4 linked regions of the Arabidopsis thaliana genome follow. The main gene of each other region encodes a partner of the protein of the gene in region 3 in a complex. Each region holds a gene or a part of one and is shown on either strand. Other genes may lie near its edges. The genes, in order: TOC120, TOC34, TOC75-IV and TOC132.

Evidence for each region.
Region 1: TOC75-IV (region 3) and TOC120 share a complex: the UniProt entries of both Arabidopsis thaliana proteins name them as parts of the TOC core complex.
Region 2: TOC75-IV (region 3) and TOC34 share a complex: the UniProt entries of both Arabidopsis thaliana proteins name them as parts of the TOC core complex.
Region 4: TOC75-IV (region 3) and TOC132 share a complex: the UniProt entries of both Arabidopsis thaliana proteins name them as parts of the TOC core complex.

What each region holds. Positions count from the first base shown.
Region 1 is NC_003074.8:5,657,778-5,663,993, reverse strand, and holds TOC120 (translocon outer complex protein 120), read left to right. Parts: upstream 1-1,927; 5' UTR 1,928-2,053; intron 2,054-2,227; 5' UTR 2,228-2,255; coding exon 2,256-5,525; 3' UTR 5,526-5,658; downstream 5,659-6,216. Other genes in the region: KINESIN-13A (P-loop containing nucleoside triphosphate hydrolases superfamily protein), read left to right, coding at 5-223, 314-884, 996-1,061, 1,152-1,334; AT3G16610 (pentatricopeptide (PPR) repeat-containing protein), read left to right, coding at 5,659-6,216. UniProt on the Arabidopsis thaliana protein: GTPase involved in protein precursor import into chloroplasts. Seems to recognize chloroplast-destined precursor proteins and regulate their presentation to the translocation channel through GTP hydrolysis.
Region 2 is NC_003076.8:1,473,511-1,478,247, reverse strand, and holds TOC34 (translocon at the outer envelope membrane of chloroplasts 34), read left to right. Parts: upstream 1-1,813; 5' UTR 1,814-1,966; exon of another isoform or gene 1,967-2,459; 5' UTR 2,460-2,475; coding exon 2,476-2,577; intron 2,578-2,664; coding exon 2,665-2,772; intron 2,773-2,873; coding exon 2,874-2,998; intron 2,999-3,100; coding exon 3,101-3,365; intron 3,366-3,456; coding exon 3,457-3,525; intron 3,526-3,617; coding exon 3,618-3,779; intron 3,780-3,875; coding exon 3,876-3,986; 3' UTR 3,987-4,221; downstream 4,222-4,737. Other genes in the region: AT5G05010 (clathrin adaptor complexes medium subunit family protein), read right to left, coding at 1-158, 235-477, 628-851, 940-979, 1,109-1,111; SUN1 (SAD1/UNC-84 domain protein 1), read left to right, coding at 4,478-4,737. UniProt on the Arabidopsis thaliana protein: GTPase involved in protein precursor import into chloroplasts. Seems to recognize chloroplast-destined precursor proteins and regulate their presentation to the translocation channel through GTP hydrolysis.
Region 3 is NC_003075.7:5,802,706-5,806,898, reverse strand, and holds TOC75-IV (Outer membrane OMP85 family protein), read right to left. Parts: upstream 2,511-4,193; 5' UTR 2,482-2,510; coding exon 2,305-2,481; intron 2,258-2,304; exon of another isoform or gene 2,206-2,257; coding exon 2,095-2,205; intron 2,003-2,094; coding exon 1,811-2,002; intron 1,736-1,810; coding exon 1,487-1,735; intron 1,411-1,486; coding exon 1,156-1,410; intron 1,046-1,155; coding exon 806-1,045; 3' UTR 544-805; downstream 1-543. Other genes in the region: AT4G09070 (TATA-binding related factor (TRF) of subunit 20 of Mediator complex), read right to left, coding at 3,507-3,740, 4,067-4,193. UniProt on the Arabidopsis thaliana protein: Mediates the insertion of proteins targeted to the outer membrane of chloroplasts. Required for the import of protein precursors into chloroplasts.
Region 4 is NC_003071.7:7,210,534-7,217,576, forward strand, and holds TOC132 (multimeric translocon complex in the outer envelope membrane 132), read right to left. Parts: upstream 5,085-7,043; 5' UTR 4,947-5,084; exon of another isoform or gene 4,594-4,946; 5' UTR 4,577-4,593; coding exon 956-4,576; 3' UTR 861-955; intron 747-860; 3' UTR 526-746; downstream 1-525. Other genes in the region: AT2G16630 (Pollen Ole e 1 allergen and extensin family protein), read left to right, coding at 1-339; PRORP2 (proteinaceous RNase P 2), read right to left, coding at 5,404-5,532, 5,604-5,672, 5,775-5,895, 5,994-6,172, 6,271-6,372, 6,542-7,043. UniProt on the Arabidopsis thaliana protein: GTPase involved in protein precursor import into chloroplasts. Seems to recognize chloroplast-destined precursor proteins and regulate their presentation to the translocation channel through GTP hydrolysis.

The sequences.
Region 1 (6,216 bases), on a different chromosome or scaffold from region 3:
TTAGGATTGAAGGCGCAGAAATCAACAAGAGTCTCTTGGCTCTTAAGGAATGTATACGTGCACTGGACAATGACCAGCTACATATACCATTTCGTGGAAGCAAACTAACGGAAGTGCTCCGTGACTCATTTGTTGGAAACTCAAGAACGGTGATGATTTCCTGCATCTCTCCAAATGCAGGATCGTGTGAACATACCCTCAATACTCTAAGATATGCTGATCGGTATGTTTTGTACAAACTATAGCCTCTTGTGAAACAAATTCTCAATTTCATCGTCTATTAACCTCTGTTGGTTATGTATGGAATAAACAGAGTCAAAAGTCTATCTAAAAGTGGAAATAGCAAGAAAGATCAAACTGCGAATTCAATGCCTCCGGTTAATAAGGATCCTTTGTTGGGCCCAAATGATGTAGAAGATGTCTTTGAGCCTCCACAGGAAGTGAATGTACCAGAAACCAGGAGGAGGGTGGTCGAGAAGGACAGCAACAGCAGTACGTCGGGTATTGACTTCAGACAGCCTACAAATTATCGAGAGGAAAGTGGAATCCCATCATTCTCAATGGACAAGGGAAGATCAGAGCCGAACAGTTCTTTTGCTGGCTCCACTAGTCAGAGAAACAACATTTCTTCATATCCCCAAGAAACTTCAGACCGTGAAGAGAAAGTAAAGAAAGTGTCACCACCTCGTGGGAAAGGGTTGCGGGAAGAAAAACCAGACAGACCACAAAATTGGTCTAAAAGAGATGTCAGTTCGTCGGATATCCCTACCTTGACAAATTTTAGACAGAACGCAAGTGAAACTGCTTCAAGGCAATATGAAACCGCTTCAAGGCAATATGAAACCGACCCTTCGCTTGATGAAAACCTCGATGCACTGCTTGAGGTAAAGTACTCACCTATCCCTTTAAAACATGAGATGAAGCTGTGAATTTGATTTGCAAGTAACGGTAGTTCTGTTTATGTCTTATCGTAACCATCACATGACTTTTTTCAGGAAGAAGAAGCTCTGATTGCAGCGCACAGAAAAGAAATTGAGGATACAATGGAGATTGTTCGCGAGGTATGTAAATCACATCATTGCAGCGCACAAAAAACGATTGTAGAATGTTATCACATCATTCAATTTTCTTTTCTGTTATATCATTATCAGGAAATGAAACTTCTAGCGGAGGTGGACCAACCGGGAAGCATGATAGAAAACTATGTGACGCAACTGAGCTTTGTGTTGTCCCGGAAAGCAGCAGGGCTAGTCAGTCTTCAAGCCAGGCTTGCTCGGTTCCAACACCGTCTCAAGGAACAAGAAATACTGAGCCGTAAGAGAGTTCCTCGGTAGTTGGTAGAAGAAGGAAAACCAAAAGTGTGGTGTTGTTTAAGTGTGAAAGGTTGGTTGGGTGATCTCTTCTTATATATGACAAAGAATGACAGAAATGTCCTTCATGTTTGTGAATTTGGGCATTTCTTTCCTTTTATTTTTGAATCTTTATTATAAAGTTATACCTTTTGTGTTTCTTATTTTTCTCTTCTCCTCTATCCTCCCAGAAAGCTGGATACTGTCAATGTGAATCAAACTCTTTTATCAATCAACTGAAAAAGTATAAAACCATTTATCATCTGAAAATGTTTCAAAATTTGGTGAGCCATATATAAAATCAAATTTCTAACAATTAATAAGATCTTCAAATACCATCTATATAGTGACAACCAATGAAAAGACAGTTGAATAGCTCCAAAAGAACAAATAAAGCAATTCTCTCTTGTCGTAAAGATAAAATGGCCAACAAGATTATGCAGCCCAACTAAAAAGGCCTTGGCCCACACTTTACTATTGATCACGTGACATGCCTTTTTCACGATTGCAATATAAGAGCCATTTTCCACCGTCCGATGTTAAAACCCAAACCGATTTAAACCGTCCATGAAAGTCGCTTATCTCCTTCTCCTTCCCGTCGTAGTCGCACTGTCGCAGGCGAGTAAAAGGCGATTTATACAAATACAAAAAAAGCGCATGAAGTTGTTTTTTTTTCTTTCCAGACTTTTGCCTTCTCTAACCAGGTTAGATTCTCGCCATCACTTTTTCTCCTCAATATCAATAGATTCTTCTTTGTATTTTCTGAATTCCTATGAGCAAAATATACCTACGATTTGGAAAATATTAGTTTCACTCCCATTTAATTTAGTGTCTTGTGGATTTAAAAGTAACGAGGATACAAAATTTGGTTGGTGCAGTGTTTCGTGATTTTGGGTGATCCTAGAAATGGGAGATGGGGCTGAGATTGTAACCAGGTTATATGGGGATGAGAAGAAGCTTGCAGAGGATGGTAGAATTAGTGAGTTGGTGGGATCTGATGAAGTGAAGGATAATGAAGAAGAGGTCTTTGAGGAAGCAATTGGTTCGCAGGAGGGTCTAAAACCTGAATCTCTCAAAACCGATGTGTTGCAAGAGGATTTTCCTTTAGCTTCCAATGATGAAGTGTGTGATTTGGAAGAAACAAGTAGAAATGAGAGAGGAGTAGAAAATTTAAAGGTTAATTATTCGGAGATTGGAGAGAGCCATGGTGAGGTTAACGAGCAATGTATAACTACGAAAGAGGCTGATTCTGATTTGGTGACTCTCAAAATGAATGATTATGATCACGGGGAAGTAGCAGATGCAGATATTTCTTATGGTAAAATGGCATCAAGCTTGGATGTGGTTGAGAACAGTGAGAAAGCTACTTCCAATTTAGCTACTGAGGATGTGAATTTGGAAAACGGAAATACACATTCTTCTTCAGAAAATGGAGTAGTCTCTCCTGATGAGAATAAAGAACTGGTGGCGGAAGTTATCTCAGTAAGTGCCTGTTCCGTGGAAACAGGGAGTAATGGTATTGACGACGAAAAATGGGAGGAAGAAATTGATGTATCAGCTGGCATGGTAACAGAACAAAGAAATGGTAAGACTGGTGCTGAGTTCAATAGTGTTAAAATTGTTTCAGGTGACAAATCCTTGAATGATAGTATTGAAGTAGCAGCTGGGACCTTATCTCCATTGGAAAAATCTAGTTCGGAGGAGAAGGGAGAGACTGAAAGTCAAAACAGTAATGGAGGACATGATATTCAATCTAATAAGGAAATTGTAAAGCAGCAAGATAGCAGTGTAAATATAGGTCCAGAGATTAAGGAAAGCCAACATATGGAAAGAGAATCTGAGGTATTAAGTTCTGTTTCACCAACAGAGTCTAGAAGTGATACTGCAGCATTACCACCTGCTCGCCCAGCAGGTCTTGGTCGTGCTGCTCCACTTTTGGAACCTGCACCACGCGTTACACAACAGCCTCGTGTCAATGGAAATGTGTCTCACAATCAGCCTCAGCAAGCTGAAGACTCTACCACTGCAGAGACAGATGAGCATGATGAGACCCGTGAGAAGCTCCAGTTTATCAGGGTCAAATTTTTGAGGCTTTCACATAGATTAGGGCAAACTCCACATAATGTTGTTGTTGCTCAGGTTTTGTACAGGCTTGGATTGGCTGAACAGTTGAGGGGCAGAAACGGAAGCCGTGTTGGTGCCTTTAGTTTTGATCGTGCCAGTGCCATGGCAGAACAGCTTGAGGCAGCTGCACAAGATCCCCTTGATTTTTCTTGTACGATTATGGTGCTTGGTAAAAGTGGGGTTGGTAAAAGTGCAACCATCAATTCTATTTTTGATGAACTGAAAATTAGTACTGATGCATTCCAGGTGGGGACAAAGAAGGTTCAGGATATTGAGGGTTTTGTTCAGGGAATTAAGGTACGGGTAATTGACACTCCCGGTCTCTTACCATCCTGGTCAGATCAACACAAGAATGAGAAGATCCTGAAGTCTGTTAGGGCATTCATCAAGAAAAGTCCGCCTGACATTGTGTTATATCTTGATAGGTTGGATATGCAAAGCAGAGATTCTGGTGACATGCCTCTCTTACGCACCATCACTGATGTTTTTGGACCATCAATATGGTTTAATGCCATTGTGGGTTTGACTCATGCCGCTTCGGCTCCACCAGATGGCCCAAATGGTACTGCTTCTAGCTATGACATGTTTGTGACACAACGTTCTCATGTCATCCAGCAGGCCATTCGCCAAGCAGCGGGAGATATGAGGCTCATGAACCCTGTTTCTTTAGTTGAGAACCACTCTGCTTGCAGGACAAATCGGGCAGGCCAGAGAGTATTACCTAATGGCCAAGTGTGGAAGCCTCATTTGTTATTACTCTCATTTGCATCCAAGATTCTTGCCGAAGCAAATGCTCTTCTGAAATTACAAGATAATATTCCAGGGGGACAATTTGCAACTCGGTCCAAGGCTCCGCCACTACCATTGCTCCTCTCATCGCTTCTGCAATCAAGACCACAAGCTAAGCTTCCTGAGCAACAGTACGATGATGAAGACGATGAAGATGATTTAGACGAATCATCAGATTCTGAGGAAGAATCAGAGTATGATGAGCTTCCTCCCTTTAAGCGGTTGACTAAAGCAGAGATGACTAAGCTTAGCAAATCTCAGAAGAAGGAATATCTCGATGAGATGGAGTATCGGGAGAAACTATTTATGAAGAGACAGATGAAAGAGGAAAGAAAGAGACGTAAGTTGTTGAAGAAATTTGCTGCTGAGATTAAAGATATGCCTAACGGGTATAGTGAAAATGTGGAAGAGGAGAGAAGTGAACCTGCATCTGTTCCAGTTCCAATGCCAGATTTATCTCTACCTGCATCTTTTGACTCTGACAATCCTACTCATCGGTACCGGTACCTTGATACCTCCAATCAATGGCTTGTTAGGCCAGTGCTGGAAACTCATGGGTGGGATCATGATATTGGTTATGAAGGTGTGAATGCGGAACGACTATTTGTTGTTAAAGACAAAATACCAGTATCTTTCTCTGGCCAAGTGACAAAGGACAAGAAGGATGCACATGTGCAGCTAGAATTGGCCAGCTCGGTTAAACATGGAGAAGGTAGATCAACTTCCCTAGGTTTTGACATGCAAAATGCTGGGAAGGAATTAGCGTACACTATTCGAAGTGAAACAAGATTTAACAAGTTTAGGAAAAACAAAGCAGCAGCTGGTCTCTCTGTTACGCTCTTAGGTGATTCAGTTTCCGCGGGACTAAAAGTCGAAGATAAGTTGATTGCTAATAAACGGTTCAGGATGGTTATGTCAGGTGGAGCAATGACTAGTCGTGGAGATGTTGCTTATGGTGGTACTTTAGAAGCTCAGTTTCGAGATAAAGATTATCCGCTTGGTCGGTTTTTATCAACTCTTGGACTCTCTGTGATGGATTGGCATGGCGATCTTGCTATCGGAGGGAATATACAGTCTCAAGTACCCATTGGACGTTCCTCTAATCTCATTGCTCGTGCTAATCTGAATAACAGAGGAGCAGGGCAAGTAAGCATCCGCGTAAACAGCTCTGAGCAGCTTCAACTTGCTGTGGTTGCACTTGTTCCTCTGTTCAAGAAGCTTCTTACTTATTATTCCCCTGAGCAAATGCAATATGGACACTGATGAGTAACATTTAACTGTTTTGATTTTTTCTTGAAACATGTTTTTCTTTTTTTAGTTGTCGGAATTCACTTTTGTTTTAAGTCTTTGATGTTTGGTTGTAACATATGTCTGAAACTTAAAATCCATTATCCCAATGTTTCTAAGTCTTCTTGAAACCTGTATTCGCTCAAGGAATCTGGTCTTAGGTCAGGTCATTCATCAGCATCTTCTTAAACGCTCTCTTACGTTAAGTTCCTCTACAGTGCTCGTCAATTTAACACGTCTTTACGCATCATGCAATGAAGTGGAACTTGCACGCCATGTGTTCGATGAAATTCCTCATCCAAGGATCAATCCTATTGCTTGGGATTTGATGATCAGAGCCTATGCTTCGAATGATTTCGCGGAAAAAGCTTTGGATTTGTACTACAAGATGCTGAATTCTGGTGTTAGACCCACGAAATATACGTACCCGTTTGTTTTGAAAGCATGTGCTGGTCTTCGAGCAATTGACGATGGTAAGCTGATACATAGTCATGTGAATTGTAGCGACTTTGCAACTGATATGTATGTATGTACTGCTCTGGTTGATTTCTATGCTAAGTGTGGGGAACTTGAGATGGCTATAAAGGTGTTCGACGAAATGCCTAAGAGAGATATGGTTGCTTGGAATGCTATGATTTCTGGGTTTTCTTTACATTGCTGTTTAACT
Region 2 (4,737 bases), on a different chromosome or scaffold from region 3:
TTGATAGGGTCGACATCTGAAATCATGCCAAACCCAGAACCACTTCCATAACCACCGCCGCCACCACTGGATATGCTCAATTCATTGAAACCACTTTCAAGTCTTCCAGATCCCATTGAACCCATGGACGAAAATCCTCCTGGCTTATTCTTTTCAATCTAGGAATTACATAAGAAATATTAATAGGAGTTACAGAAATAGAATACAACAGCAGGGTGCGCTCCTGTCATGTACCTTGCTTTTGTCAATCTCATTAGCCTTACGCTTCATCACGTCCTTAGTGTCATTGATCTTGCTCTGCATAACCAGTTTATGCAACTTCTCCTCATGACTTTCCATTTCACAATACTGCTTCACCTGGGCAACTGTCACACTTTCCTTGTGCCCAAGAGATATGACTTCATCAAATGCAAATATGAGCTCAAAAGATGCCCTGGAAATCCCTTCTTCATCTAAAGACATGGAATACTCAGGTACCTAGAAACAATCAAATGATCAAACAGCACTTGGAACACTCACTTTTCAAAAGAACTAAGAACCAGTACACATCCAGAGTCAAGGCAATAATCTCCTCAAATAAAGTAGCAGAAGTAAAAAAAAAAGAAAGAAAGAAAGAAAGAAGCATACAAGTTTGGAGAGCAAAGTAAGGGTGGCCAGGTCTTCTAGAATGTTACTCTGCTTAGTTGTAACAAGAAGCAGGAACAGAGCTTCAATAGGCTGATAAACATATCGCACATTCTCCGTCTCGATATAGGTATGCTGCTTTCCCATTCCAACCAGCTTAGGAAAAGCTGCAAGTAGACCTTCGATTCTGATACGGGACATATCCACATAGTGTCTGGAAACAATCACTACATAAAAAAGAAGAAAGTTAGAAAAAACGCAAAAATATTGAAAAACGAGAATTCGAAGACAAAGTCAAAGATAGATGAAAATAACCTTTCCCAGACTTGACCACAATGGCAGCAGCAAGCACAACCTATAAAGCACAGGTTCCAACTTTAGAAAACGCGCCAGACACTCATCAAACACTAAAGTTAACACCAAATTGCGAAGATGCACTAAAAAGGAAAAAGAAAAAAACCAATCATAGAACAAAAGTCAATACCATTTTGATTATTCAGGCTCGAACAATCTCGGCGATTATAAGAAAGGTAATGCGAATCTGAAATACAAAGAACCAATGTTAGAGTAAATCCAGTTAGAGCGAGATCAGAAGAAACAAACGGGATTTGATCTTCAGGATCATAAATCACGTAATAGAGGAAGAGATCTCGAATACACGAATCCAAACGAAACTAGACTAGCGAATCGAAAATATAAAAAGAATTCATCGCAGATCCAGCGGATCTACGAGCATCAGAGGCTCATAATCGAAAAACATAACTGTAGAATCAAAATCAACACAAGCGGATCAAATTCATGAAACAGGATCGCGAAATTTAGAAGGAGGAGAAAATTCTTAATAATGGAGATCCACAGAAATGTAGCCAGAGAGAACATTCATTCAAAGGAAAACGAAAATCATCACCATCAGTGAAGGCGAAGAGCGAGAGAACAAGACGATACCTTGGGAGTGATCGAAGGAGATGAAATCACCAGTTTCTTCTTCACAAGCTCGCCGAGTAAAAAAGATGAAACGAGTCTCAGATTAAATCCTGGTGTGTGTGTTAGAGAAAAGACGATCCACAAAACAAGGACAAGTAATCTGGGCCGTTTCAGTTCCTTATTGGGCTTTCCAACCCAGTAAATGGAAGAAAAAATGCCAAAAGGGCAAATTCGTCATTGGTGCAGACCGACGACATTCGGTTTAGTCCGGTTGAATTTTGAAAGGAATGTACTTTCATGTATTGAGATTTGTAGCAATCAATCATCTTCAAAAGTCAATTTCAGTTCTAGGGTTTTAATTTGATACGAGGTCAGCGAATCCGGCGACGAATATCCGCCACTAGTAACTCTAGCTCAGGTAGGTTACTCTCTCTCTCGTTTTCTTTCTTTATCTGGTTTTCACTTCGTCCACTTAGAAGTATGCTCATTTGATAAATTGGCATTTGACCCCAGTTCAGGATTTAGGATTCTGATTATCTCTCAATACTTGATTAGTTTAGTGCTTAAGTTATTAGTTTTTGGTATGCCCACTTGCGCCATGTTCGTTTCTAAAGCAATGAGATTATTTTCATTTAAAGATCTGGAAAAAAGAAACTAATGGAGACAACGGCAAATGAAGATGGATTTTAAGGGTTTTTGTTCTTAGTAAAAAAAAGTTATCTTCTTTTTAATTTTCTGAGACTTTAATTGCTAGAAAGTTATAGGATTGATTCAGATAGTGGAATCAGACAACTTTTTCTTTTATGGGCGATTACTCATTTTTGTTCTTTGGTCTTCTGATTGTTTAGTTTCTTAGCAGATGATTTAGTCTTCTCTTTTGTGATCCTTTTTTGCTTTCCTTGGAAGTGTAGGTAAGGATTTGTGTCCATGGCAGCTTTGCAAACGCTTCGTGAATGGATCGGTATCCAGCAGTTCCCACCTGCTACTCAATCTAAATTGCTCGAGATCCTTGGGAAGTATAAAGAAGAGGTTCCTTTCTTGTTTCTAGCTTCATCTGCTTTCTGTTTGTTTCTTCTTGTCTTAGAGAGATTTAAGAAAGAAAAAAAACTGGTGTAGGATGTGAGCTCGCTAACGGTCCTTGTAATGGGGAAAGGTGGTGTTGGAAAGTCATCAACTGTGAATTCAGTTATAGGCGAGAAAGCTGCTGCAGTTAGTACTTTCCAGGTGCCAAGTTTAATGCTCTTCTCATGGCTTGTCTTTATGACTATTGGCTATCTTTCTTTTAATTTTTCTCATAGAAAGTGTGTGATTTTCCCTCTTTATAGTCTGAAGGACTGAGGCCTACCTTGGTCTCTCGCACAAGATCGGGATTTACATTGAATATCATCGACACTCCTGGTCTTATTGAGGGAGGATATGTGAATGATCAAGCCATCAACATTATAAAACGGTATGATGAACTGTTTCCAGGTCTAAGGAGTTACTCTCCTAATTTGGGGCTCATTTGTGGCATTTGTATTAATTTGGATTCGTGGATGTTGAATTTGAACAGATTTCTCCTCAACATGACTATAGATGTGCTACTATACGTAGACCGTTTGGATGTGTACCGGGTGGATGACCTTGATAGGCAAGTTGTCGGTGCTATAACTGATGCATTTGGTAAAGAGATATGGAAGAAGTCTGCTCTTGTTCTCACCCATGCTCAGTTCTCTCCACCAGACGGGTTAAATTATAACCACTTTGTCTCCAAAAGATCTAATGCTCTTCTAAAAGTTATCCAGACAGGCGCTCAACTGAAGAAACAGGATTTGCAGGTATAGTTTTTTCCTCCTTACATAAATGTCTGTAACGACCTTGATAGTAGTCAAGTTAATAGACTCACTTACCTCTGATCTTTTATTGTAGGGTTTTTCTATTCCTGTCATTCTTGTTGAGAACAGCGGAAGATGCCATAAGAACGAAAGCGATGAAAAGGTCAGTTGATTGGTTTTGTCCACGTTCTCTTTTTCTCGCGTCTTGTAGTAGTTGGACCAATCTTGAAGTCGGATTTTCCAAATTTGTGACAGATTCTTCCATGCGGGACTAGTTGGATTCCCAATCTGTTCAACAAAATCACAGAGATCTCTTTTAATGGCAACAAGGCGATTCATGTTGACAAGAAACTGGTCGAAGGGCCAAACCCAAACGAAAGAGGAAAAAAACTGATTCCTTTAATGTTTGCATTCCAAGTAAGCCCCTCTGAACCATTCAGTAACAATACAGAATAAGGCTTGATCAAAACATCATGCATCATTTATTCATCTTTTGATGGTTTGAAAATGCAGTACTTGCTGGTGATGAAGCCATTGGTTCGAGCAATCAAGTCCGATGTTTCGAGAGAGAGTAAACCGGCGTGGGAGCTGCGAGACTCCGGTTTAGCAAGTCGAAGGTCTTGAGTTGTGGACACGAGTTTTGTTTGGTTTGTTTGTCTATCTGAGAGATTGTTCTGTAGTTGAAATTGTGATACAACTCGAGAAATGTGGTTCACAGATAATTACTGTCGCAAAGTTCTCTCATCTTAATTACATCTTCTTTAGCCTCTCGTAAATCGTAATTAAGAGCTACTCTCTTGGTGAAAATGATTAGAAGAGATAATTCCATTTTGTCATTAATGGTAAAAGTAACCGCTGCAGTTATTTTTGACGCGATGCAAGTTTTGAAATAAAATAAAAATTTGAGTTAAAGAAAAAAAAAACCGATGTTTAAAGGAGGAATTTGGCAAACGGAGAAGACGGTTCAGAGAAGATCGTTTACTCTTTCCTCAATTTCGAACAAAGTTTTCGAATTTTCCAACTCTCTCTAGTGAATTTAGGGTTCTGATTTCGACATTAGTGTAAAGATTTGTTTTTTATCCGAGGGGTGCGATTGTGTAGTCAAACCAGATCAAATGTCGGCATCAACGGTGTCGATCACCGCTAATACGGCGGCAGCGACTAGACGGACGCCGATTCTTGCCGGAGAGAAAAAATCAAACTTTGATTACCCTCAAAGCGAATCGCTTGCGAACGGTGGTGTTGGGGAAGCCGGTGGTACGAGTAGAGATCTGAGCCGCGGTGAAGCTACCCTTGATCGATCTCAGGGACAAGATTTGGGTCCTGTGACGAGAAGGTCTGTTTCCGCTGCGACGGGGACTAATACCACCGCTAC
Region 3 (4,193 bases):
CTCCATTGAAATAAAAACTTTCTAAACTGTATTTTATGCATTTCCTTTAGACGGTTGATAATACATGAGACCACCCCAATCCTTGATAATTCCAGAACAATAAGCTCATCAAAGGTTTAATAGATATCAACTTGCAGTACTGGTCGTTTTAAGCAATTCTAACAACCATTAAAATCAGAAATAGATAAACTCACAAAGAGATCACAACATATGTAAAATTGTTTATTTTTAACCTTCGACATTAGAACTCGTGACTTTTGAGTTTTATTTTGTTAAATAAAATCTTTAATACATTAATAGCTAGAGAGTTACGCAAACAAGTGGTAAAAATCTGGAACCTTCTATATACAGTAAAAATATATACAAGTTACCATTTCGGATATATGACGGTGTTTCACAAACCGGCCAGATGTAATACAATAAACCTTATTGGTCCGTCACATCCCATTGAGAGGACATAAACATCCGAGAAATGCGAGTGGACCAATAAGGACTAGGTCATAAGTGTCGGAAAAGTCGTTTTGCGTAATCAACAAGTTAATAGAGAGGGCATGAGTAAATGTAGTACGTGTTCTACGTCTACAGTGAACAGACTTCTTCAAAGTCAAAAACAAATCTAACTAAACATTTACTGTCGTGACGAGAGACATGAAACGGCTTGTTCTTATTCTCTTCTATCGCTTTAAACAAATGCCTAAACTCAATGACTTGCTATGCACGCATTTACATAACTAGAGTATCAGGATTATAAACCAAAGTATTAGAGTTAAGAAAGAAAGCAGCACAAAGTCTTCATGGCATGACCTTAGTATCTCTCCCCGAACCTGAGAAACAGAGCACCGGTTCCACGATTGTGACGTACAGTATATTCAGCTCGCACCATACCGAGTTTCACACCCAAACCATACGATGAACCATGTCCCATTTTCCTGTAAAGCCCTGTTGGATTCCCTTTCACATCCTTTGAACTTCCCAAATCGTTTCCATGCTCAGCAAATGCATACACATGTGTGTTCTTGACAGGAATTCTAATCTCAGCACCAAGCTATATACAATTAGCAACATACCAAAAAAAAGCTATATACAATTAGCATTATCAGATTTTATAAACTGAAAGACCAAAACAAAAGCATGTTTTTCGTAATTATATTTAACCTCGAGAATGTTTTTAGCTGCACCAAGTTCTCCCATGCTGTATCCTCGAACGGAGTTAGGTCCACCAAGAGCAAAAACATCATAGCTTGGAAGATCGCCTATGCAGCCACCGTAACGACCATGGAGGACTAGAACTGGTGGTTGTGGTTTATCGGATCCTTCTTCTACTTGCTTCAGCTGAATGAAACTTGTTAATGATAGTTGGTGGCGGTTGAAGAGCGGAAAATTATTTCCTATACCTAAGCCTTGATCCACCTGCGATTTGTGTTAGTACACTATTAAAGCTCTAATTTAGTTAAAAACACCAACATCAAGGGATTTGATACAAAACCTGAAAGATATTCTTCTCTCCAACAACAGCCCCATTCACTAGCTTGGTGTTGTCTCGGGTTATGTTGGCTTGTAGAGTGGCAATGTGGTCAATACCGGTACCACTTAGAGTTGTTGGAGGTCCATTAATACTGATTCCACCGTCAGGCGATAACAAGAGCCCATTTTCAGAGATTCGCCTGTTTTCATCTCGGGTTATTATCTCTTCAAACATAACTCCATATGTGAGTTCTCTCTGACGGGTTAAGTTCTGGACGTGAAAAAAAAGGTGCTTGTGAGAGATGATTACAAGTTGACTATCTATATATATAGGAGACTTGGTTACCTCAGTTATAGTAGCTTTAAGACAATCTCGACCCACAAACATTGGAGGCACTAGATCCTCATAGCCTGGTCCTCCAGTGAACACTGGGCTAAGTTTTCTGCTATTGAAGAAGCTCGTTTTGAAGGTACGGTTTCTAGGTTTTTTAACAGCTTCCAGAAACCGTACATACTCAATCTTAGACAAAAGATCATCCTAAGAGAAAACCAAGCGTATTAAAGGATCAAAATATCAAACTACAAAATAAACTAGATAGGTATCAGAAGCATATGTAAAAACAAGTGTACCAGCTTAGGATTAAAGATGTTCCTAATGGTCACAGAACCCATGAGAGACTGATTAGATCCCTCGCTATTTGGACGTCCCAAATTACAGTTCCCTGTTACCTCGAAAAAATCCTAATAATGCAAGATAATCAAACGAAGGACATAGTAAATTCAATAGAAAACTCTTATAACATAAAAAAGTTGCCAAGTTTAGTAGAAGACAATACATACCAAAGAAGGATCAAGACCCCACTTTTCTACTCTCTGATCTGTCTCATTAAGCTTGATCTCAAAAACAATACCATTATCTTTCTCATCTGCATGTGGTATGACTAAGGACTTAATCTTCCTCACAGCTTCCTTCACAGCTTCCATCACAATAACCTGAACAACAAAGAAGAAATCCATTAATACACACTAGAATAACTTAAGGTTCATTTCTCAGAGGAATTTCATCAAACACTTGGCAGACATCAAATTCTATTTTACAATTCTACTCAAATAGAAACTCTGTTAAAAGCCAAATCCTAAGCTAAACTCAAAGCAACGAAAGCAAAATTCTGAAATCTACTACTACAACGTGAACGAATCAACAAGGCAACACCAAAAAATCCACTGACTCAGATACAAATTTCAGTCTGGAATCGTAATCAAACACATGTTTAAAACCAAAATCCAAAGAAAAATAGCTCTCTGTAGTGATTTTGGTAGTTGATTTTGATCTTATCGCTTGTTCTTTGCGATTCAAGTTTTGAAATCAGTACAAAGAAAGAACACGAGAGAAACAAGCGATTTATGTACAATTTCTCGAAGATCAAACTCGATAATGCTTCACTCTCAAGAGGAATTAACAAAATTTCAGGTTACAGAAGAAGAGATTCAAAGCTACGTACCTACACGAGTCTTCTAGAGGTTGACGAAGAAGACGAAGAAGAAGAAGAATCTAGATCTGTCTCTCTCTCTACTCGATTTCTTCAAACTTGTAGCTCTCACACTTCTTTCTCTCTATATTGTTTGTTACTACCGGTAAGCTCTGTTTGGAAGAAAACATGCAATCGCAACCGCCAAAACTTCTTTGCGTTTTGATTCTGCATTTGGGATTCTTCTCATTTATGGGCCTTAAGCCCAACTCAATGACTGACCCAAATAACTAACACTAAGCCCAATCGTAATCCAACATTTTCGCTTTATTTATGCATTTTATAGACACAAGTGACCAGTAATTGAGTTTAGGGTCAAAAGATTCATAAAGTTTTCACAGTCATAAAACAAACCAAAAAGTTGGTAAGAAACTGAATTCACAATCTGCTCCAATCTCAAGTTTACAAATTGGTCTTCCAACTTTTTAAAACTACCATTTGTTTTTCAATCCTTAATGACTTCTAAAATCAATGATACCACAAAAACTCATAAAAGTCTTTGTTGTATTATCTTTAGCCTCTCCCAGCTTGAATTGCTGCCATCAAATTAGCCATGAAGAAAGCATATCCAACAGCGGTATGTTGCGGAGTGTAGTTGTCTCCAAGTCCAAACTTTTCAAAGTTGAGTTCTTTGTTCACAAACTTACCCGGCAACGACCTTTTCGACATAGCTTCTTGCCATATCTCCAAGAACTCCTCCATCAATTTTTTTGCCATTCCCATTGATGATATAGGAAGATACTCCACCTAAATAGTACACACACATAATTATAGGTTTCAAATGAAAGTAGTGCATAATAGCATAATGGCATAAGTTGATAGCACTAAAAATTCGTATAATGAAAACTTGTTGCATGGAAAACCGTAGATTATGCAAATTTTCTTAATTGACAAATTTTCTGCCTAATCACATTAGAAACCGTCATTATGTGTGTTACCAATCATAGCTAATAACCTTTAGTTACTGAGTTACATTACAAACTCCAAATTATGAATTAACTAGAGTGTTAGATAATCATTAACATTGATTATTAATATATCTCAACGTACTCAAAAGATATAAAATTTGTTACCTCCATGACTACGCCTCTAATGGTCTCAGCATGAGTAGGAACAACTTTACCAACTCTCAAACGAAAATCCCCAAGTTGATACTCAAGCCCTTCAAAGTAAAACGAGAGTTTGCATTTGTAAGACTGA
Region 4 (7,043 bases), on a different chromosome or scaffold from region 3:
TGGATGAAACCTGAGTACAGATGCTACTGGAGGGCGATAGGTCCAGACACAAAGGTCGCAGTTGCATTTGGGCTAGTAGCCGGGAGAATATACGGCACAGATATGACAGTACGAGAAGCGCTTGACGGGCGAGGAGAAGCCTATAAGACACTTCTAAGAGAGGCAACAACTGCATTGCTCAATTCATACAACTCTCTAGGATTTCCTTATAATTCCGTCGCTGTGATCACATATACCAATCTGGCTCTCCTCGGGAATTCGGAACACGATGTCCTCATGACTGCTATTCGTTTCATCAAGGCTAATTCCGGGACCTGCAGATTCACAGTCTGCAATTGATTGAATGTGTTTTCAATACTTATATACTCTACACTCTTTCTTTCTCTTTTACATTGTTCTTGGGTCCTTTTGTAATACTATAAAAGTCTATACCTGGATTCATTGGAGAATTTATGGACTATTATTGTATCCCTATTTATACTCGGCATTAAACTTAGTTGTTACAAAGCCTAACGTTCTAGCACTGTGAGCACTAAATGTTGTTATGATATAATGCATCAATGATTGGAGAGGGACATGAACAAAAGTAGATATGCTTCATTCATAAGGGAGATCACAAGGTCTTAGAAATAGAAGAAAAACAAACCACTGAGCTATTATATATCAGACAAGGAACGTGTTATGTTCTGGCTATTTCAAGACACAAACTTTCCTCCAACAATTGGTCTCTTGCTACCAGACAGATCCTGTTCAAAACCAAAGCACATCAACGCTCAGCAAAATCCATTAAGAGGGTTTCCAAGAAAACGAAAATATCGAAATCAGTAATCACAGTAAGATATAGAGATCAGATTGTGTACCTTTTCAACTCACTCTAACATGTTCTTGTGACTAATCGATTCCTAATACTCCAGTGCAAAGGGATGGAAGTGAAATCAGCCTAAATGTTTCTTAATCATTGTCCATATTGCGTTTGCGGGTAATAATAACTAAGTAGCTTCTTGAAGAGAGGAACAATCGCAACCATAGCAAGTTGGAGCTGCTCGGAGCTGTTAACACGAACACTTACTTGCCCTGCTCCTCTATTGTTCAGATTAGCACGAGCAATTAAATTAGAGGAACGTCCAATGGGAACCTGAGACTGTATGTTCCCTCCAATAGCAAGATCACCGTGCCAATCCATTACAGAAAGTCCAAGAGTAGTCAAAAACCGACCAAGCGGATAATCTTTATCTCTCAACTGAGCTTCCAAAGTACCACCATAAGCAAAATCTCCCCGACTAGTCATAGCTCCACCAGACATTACGATTCTGAACCATTTACTAGCAATAAACTTATCTTCGACTTTCAACCCCGCAGAAACCGAATCACCCAAGTGTGTTACAGAAAGACCAGCTGCAGCCTTGTTTCTCCTGAAATTGTTAAATCTCGTTTCGCTTCGAAGAGTATAAGCCAATTCCTTTCCAACAGTTTGCATGTCGAAACCTAGGGAAGTTGATTTACCCTCTCCATGTTTAACCGAGCTGGCCATTTCTAGCTGCACATTTGCATCCTTCTTGTCTTTTGTCACTTGACCTGAGACAGATATTGGTATTTTTTCTTTTACAACAAAGAGCCGTTCTGCATTCACACCTTCATAACCAATATCATGATCCCACCCATGAGTTTCCAGGACTGGCCTAACAAGCCACTGATTGGAGGAATCAAGGTACCGGTAGCGGTGAGTAGGGTTATCAGAGTCAAAAGACGCAGGTAGAGATAAATCTGGCATAGGAACTGGAACTGATGCAGGTCCACCACTCTCCTCTTCCACATTTTCACTATACCCATCAGGCAAATCTTTAATCTCTGCAGCAAATTTCTTAAACATCTTACGTCTCTTTCTTTCCTCTTTCATTTGCTTCTTCATTAAAAGTTTCTCTCGGTACTCCATTTCATCGAGATACTGCTTCTTCTGAGATTTACTAAGCGTAGCCATCTGAGCTTTAGTCAAACTCTTAAACGGAGGAAGCTGATCATACTCTGATTCTTCGTCTGAATCTGATGATTCTTCTAAATCATCTTCATCTTCTTCATCACCATACTGCTGTTCAGGAAGCTTAGGTTGTGGTCTTGATTGCAGAAGCGATGAAAGGAGAAATGGTAATGGCGGAGCCTTGGACCGAGCTGCAAATGGTCTCCCTGGAATATTATCTTGCAACTTCAAAAGAGCATTTGCTTCTGCTAGAATCTTAGATGCAAATGAGAGTAGCAACAAATGTGGCTTCCACACTTGGCCATTCGGTAATACTCTCTGGCCTGCCCGATTAGTCCTGCAAGCTGAGTGATTCTCAACTAAAGAAACAGGGTTCATGAGCCTCATATCTCCAGCTGCTTGGCGAATGGCCTGCTGGATGACATGAGAACGTTGTGTAACAAACATATCATAGCTAGAAGCAGTGCCATTTGGGCCATCTGGTGGAACAGAAGCGGCATGAGTCAAACCCACAATGGCATTAAACCATATCGAAGGACCAAAAACATCACTTATGGTGCGCAGGAGAGGCATGTCACCAGAATCTCTGCTTTGCATATCCAACCTATCAAGATATAGTACAATGTCAGGTGGATTCTTCTTGATGAAAGCCTTAACAGAATTCAGGATCTTCTCATTCTTGGCTTGATCAGACCAGGAAGGTAAGAGACCGGGAGTGTCAATCACCCGTACCTTAATTCCCTGAACCAAACCCTCAACATCTTGAACCCTCTTTGTCCCCATCTGGAATGCATCAGTACAAAATTTCACTTCATCAAATATAGAATTGATCGTTGCACTTTTACCAACCCCACTTTTTCCGAGAACCATAATCGTACAAGAAAAATCAAGTGGATCCTGTCCAGCAGCCTCAAGCTGTTCTGCCATGGCACTAGCGCGATCAAAACTAAAAGCACCAACACGGCTTCCATTTCTGCCCCTCAACTGCTCAGCCAATCCAAGCCTGTATAAAACCTGAGCAACAACAACATTATGCGGGGTTTGCCCTAGTCTATGTGCAAGCCTCAAAAATTTTACCCTGATCAACTGGAGCTTCTCGCGGGTCTCATCATGCTCATCAGCCTCTGTAGTGGTAGAGTCTTCAGCTTGCTGAAACTGATTGTGAGACCCATTCCCATTGACGCGAGACTGTTGAGGAGCACGTGATGCAGGTTCCAAAAGAGGAGAAGCACGACCAAGACCTGCTGGACGAGCAGGTGGTAATGCCGCAGGATTACTTCTAGACTCTGTTGGTGAAACAGAACTTACTACCTCAGGTTCTGTTTCCACATGTGAATTTTCTGTAATCTCTGGATCTACATGTACTCTGCTGCTTTGCTGCTTCTCAAGCTCCTTATTTGGTTGAGGACTCTGAACATCATGTCCTCCATTAGCACTTTGAACTGGTTTGTGTTCTCTACTAGTTACCCCAGGGGAGCCACTATTGCTGTGAACTTCAGTTGACTCAGGATATGAGTGCGGCGAAGAAGCCAAGTGTTGCTCTGGTTTTAAACAAGTACTGTCCCCTTCAGTCTCTCCCTTTTCCCCGGAACTAGATTCCTCCAATGGAGATGAAGTCACAGCACTTGATACTTCATTGTCACCTGAAGCATTAGTAACGATATTACTTGTGTAGGCGGCACCAGTCTCACCATTTCTTTCTGCCTCGGACTCACTGTCCATACATACTGAACCATTCTCAAATAGATCCTTACTTGTTCCTTCACCTTCCACAACATCTTGTTCTGTCTGTTTCTCAAATAGATTCTTACTTGTTCCTTCACCTTCTACAACCTCTTCTTCTGTCCGTTTCTCAAATTGATTTTCAGTTGTTCCTTCACCTTCCTCAACCTCTTGTTCTGTCTGTATGCCATCAACTCTTTCCTCCCAATTATCGACTTCAATGCCATCATTCCATGGTTCCTCAATCCCATCATCTTTAGGGATAACTTCAGCCACCACTTCTTTATTTTTAGGAGAGGCGATTCCATTTCCCAAAAAAGAATGAGTCTTTCCGTTTTCAATACCCACATGCTCAGCTGCTAAATTGGAACCATTAGTATTAGTTGATGTAGCATTCTCAGTGGTATCAACAACATCCAAGCTCGATTCAACTTTATCATAAGAACCACCTCCACCTCCTTCCCCCTTATCACCATTCATTTTAGTAGCCAAAACATCAAATTCAGCCTCTCCCGCACCATGGCTCTCTCCAACAGCCGTAAAATCTTTAACACCCCCTTCATTGCTACTCGTTTCATCCAAATCACCCACTGCCTCTTCAAAATCCTCCACTTCATGCTCAACCATAGAACTTTTAAGAGTTTCCACTAAAGGCAAATCATCAGATTCAAACAATTCACGTTTTGGATCCTCCTCCTCCTCCTGCTCATCATTCTCTGAACCAATCGCTTCCTCAAAAACCTCGTCCTCGTTATCATCCCTTACTTCATCAGATCTCACCAACTCATTCTTCACTACTTGCTCATCACTAATTCTATCCTCAGCAAGCTTCTTATCTTCCCTATCTGACCTAACCACAAACTCAGTCCCATCTCCCATTTTCTAGATCACCACCGCTACGGGAAACAAAAGCCACAAATACAATAATCAGAGATCAGAAATCACTCCAATTACCAACTACGCTTTAACCATCAATATAAATTCCAACAACCAAAAAAAAAAAAAAACGAGCACACAGCTAAAAGAAACCTAGATCAGAGTTAATCACCACGAATCCTAGAATCCTTATCCCTTACCAATTCCAGAAACTAAAATTCAATTGAAGTTAACCAAATCGCTTAAACACAGGTCTAAGCGGTGATAGGGATCTCCAAACATGGAAGAAGAACTTTGTTGATTACAGGAAACGAAAACCAAAACAGAAGAAAGAAGACGAAGAAAGAAGAAGAGAAATGGAGAGAAGCCTTACCAGAAGTTAGAGATAGAGAGAGAGAGAGAGAGAGAGAAATAGAGAGAAGGTGAAAAAGTGTGAAGATCCTTTCATGCGCTTTACCGGCTGCGAGCCTGCGACTACGACGGGGAAGGAGATAAGAGACGTTCATCAACGGTCCTGATCAGTTTGGGTTTAAGCATCGTACGGTTGATAATGACTCGTTGATGCAATCGTGAAATGATGCTGACGTGGACTATATAAAGTAGAGTGAGTGAAGCCGTGAAAGGGAATAGAAAACCCTCGTGCGTCAATTCGGTTTAACCAACCCGGTCTGATTCGGTTTGGTCTACTACAATTTTTTGTGTTCTTTCTAATGAGAAAAGTTCAGTCCCTTATTATAGAACCAATGAACGTTTTTTGTGTTAATCTTCAAAGGACAAAGAATGAAAACTCATAACAAATGATACATGAACTCAATAAGCTGGTGCAGCTACTAAGGAATCTTCCCATTACTCTTAGGTGAATCTAAAATACTTTGTCTGCTAATACACATCCAAGTTCTTGAAGACTCTTCATTGTTTTCGCATGAGACCGGGAAATGCCATGACCCTTTCTCTGATTCCTGATTTTGTCGAAACGTAATTGAGAAACTATCGAAACCGGAGAAAAAAAGGACTGAGATGGTAAACAAACCTGAATGACAACCGAAAAAGGAGACGGCATTTCAAGCTTCAGGTTACCTTTCACAAAAGTATACCGGACCTGTACCAAAACCATAAACCAAATGTTCTAATTGTAGACTTCTCAAAGTTGCACTTTTAGTATAAAAAGTTACATATTGTATATAAGTTTATATAACTTTACCTGATGTCTTTCTTTCCACTTTTGGAAAAAAGTACTCCCTAAGAGTTCAAAAATGTGGTCTCTCATCTCATCATTTGTCACAAGCAAACACTTGAGCTTAGCAGCAGCATACAGCCAATACCTGGAAAGGTAAAAAAAACAAAAGATGAGTGTAGTAACCAAACATTGTTTGTGTTTTTTGTCGAAATAATGGTGCTGAGAGAAGCTAAAAGTTCATACCAATCATCATTGGAACCTGGTGGAGTTGCATACAGGACACCGTTACTAATCCATTCTTCAACCAGATTCCGGTGAGTTGGGTTTTCTAAAAGCGTCTTGACCCGTCTCTTGTGCAATAGAATTAGGGGCCATTTGTTATTACCACTTTCACGGTAAAGTTCCTTCATCACAGATTCAAGCTGCTCTATCCCACATGTATGTGATATCAGTATAGCAAGGAATGGATTCTAAAAATATGGAGGAAGAAAAACAAGTACCCCAGAAAAGATGGGAGAACCTGTGAAAGACTGAAACTGCCATCTACAAAATTTTGTTGGTAGAGCCCAATATTTGCTCCATCTACTATAGCTTCGTAATCTCCATGTTTCTCAAGCCAGTCCTGCCAAATAAGATAGCAACATTCAACAAATATCGACATTTGAATACTCAAGATTGATGACAATTCGCAGCAAAAACTCCAACCAGTGTACCTATCTCTAAATGCTTATCATGCAATATTTAATGTCCAAGACTTATTATAACCAAGCTAAGAGAATCCCATCTCTAACCTGAAACTCGCTGAAGACCACATTTGTCTCACATGAATTCATCTTTGTCTTCCTATCCATAGCCAAAGCCACCAAAGAATCCACAAACTTCTGTGTTTCTACCTCATTGGTATCTACACAAGCTAACTGCTCACTGCAGCTCAAACATCTTCCTGTTGAGCTAACATTACCTTTCTTTACAGTCCATTTACCCTCCCCAACCCACCCATGCCCGTGCCACCCACCTCCATTATTCAAAACAGCTTCTCTAAGCATCCCAACATCAGAACCAATTCCATTATCACCAACCTCACCAGCTTTTTCTCCACAGAACCATTCCTCAATAATTTTCAAAGTTTCTTCACTAACGCAGCCAACATATTCCCTCAACTTATGTAAATATCTATAAACCTTGTTTTCTCGACCCGTGGCAGCACTTACCTTCAACAAAGCCGATATCTCTGCCTCCTCCAATGCAATACCTGCAGCTTCCATGTGCTCTTCTACCTCATAACCCTTTTCA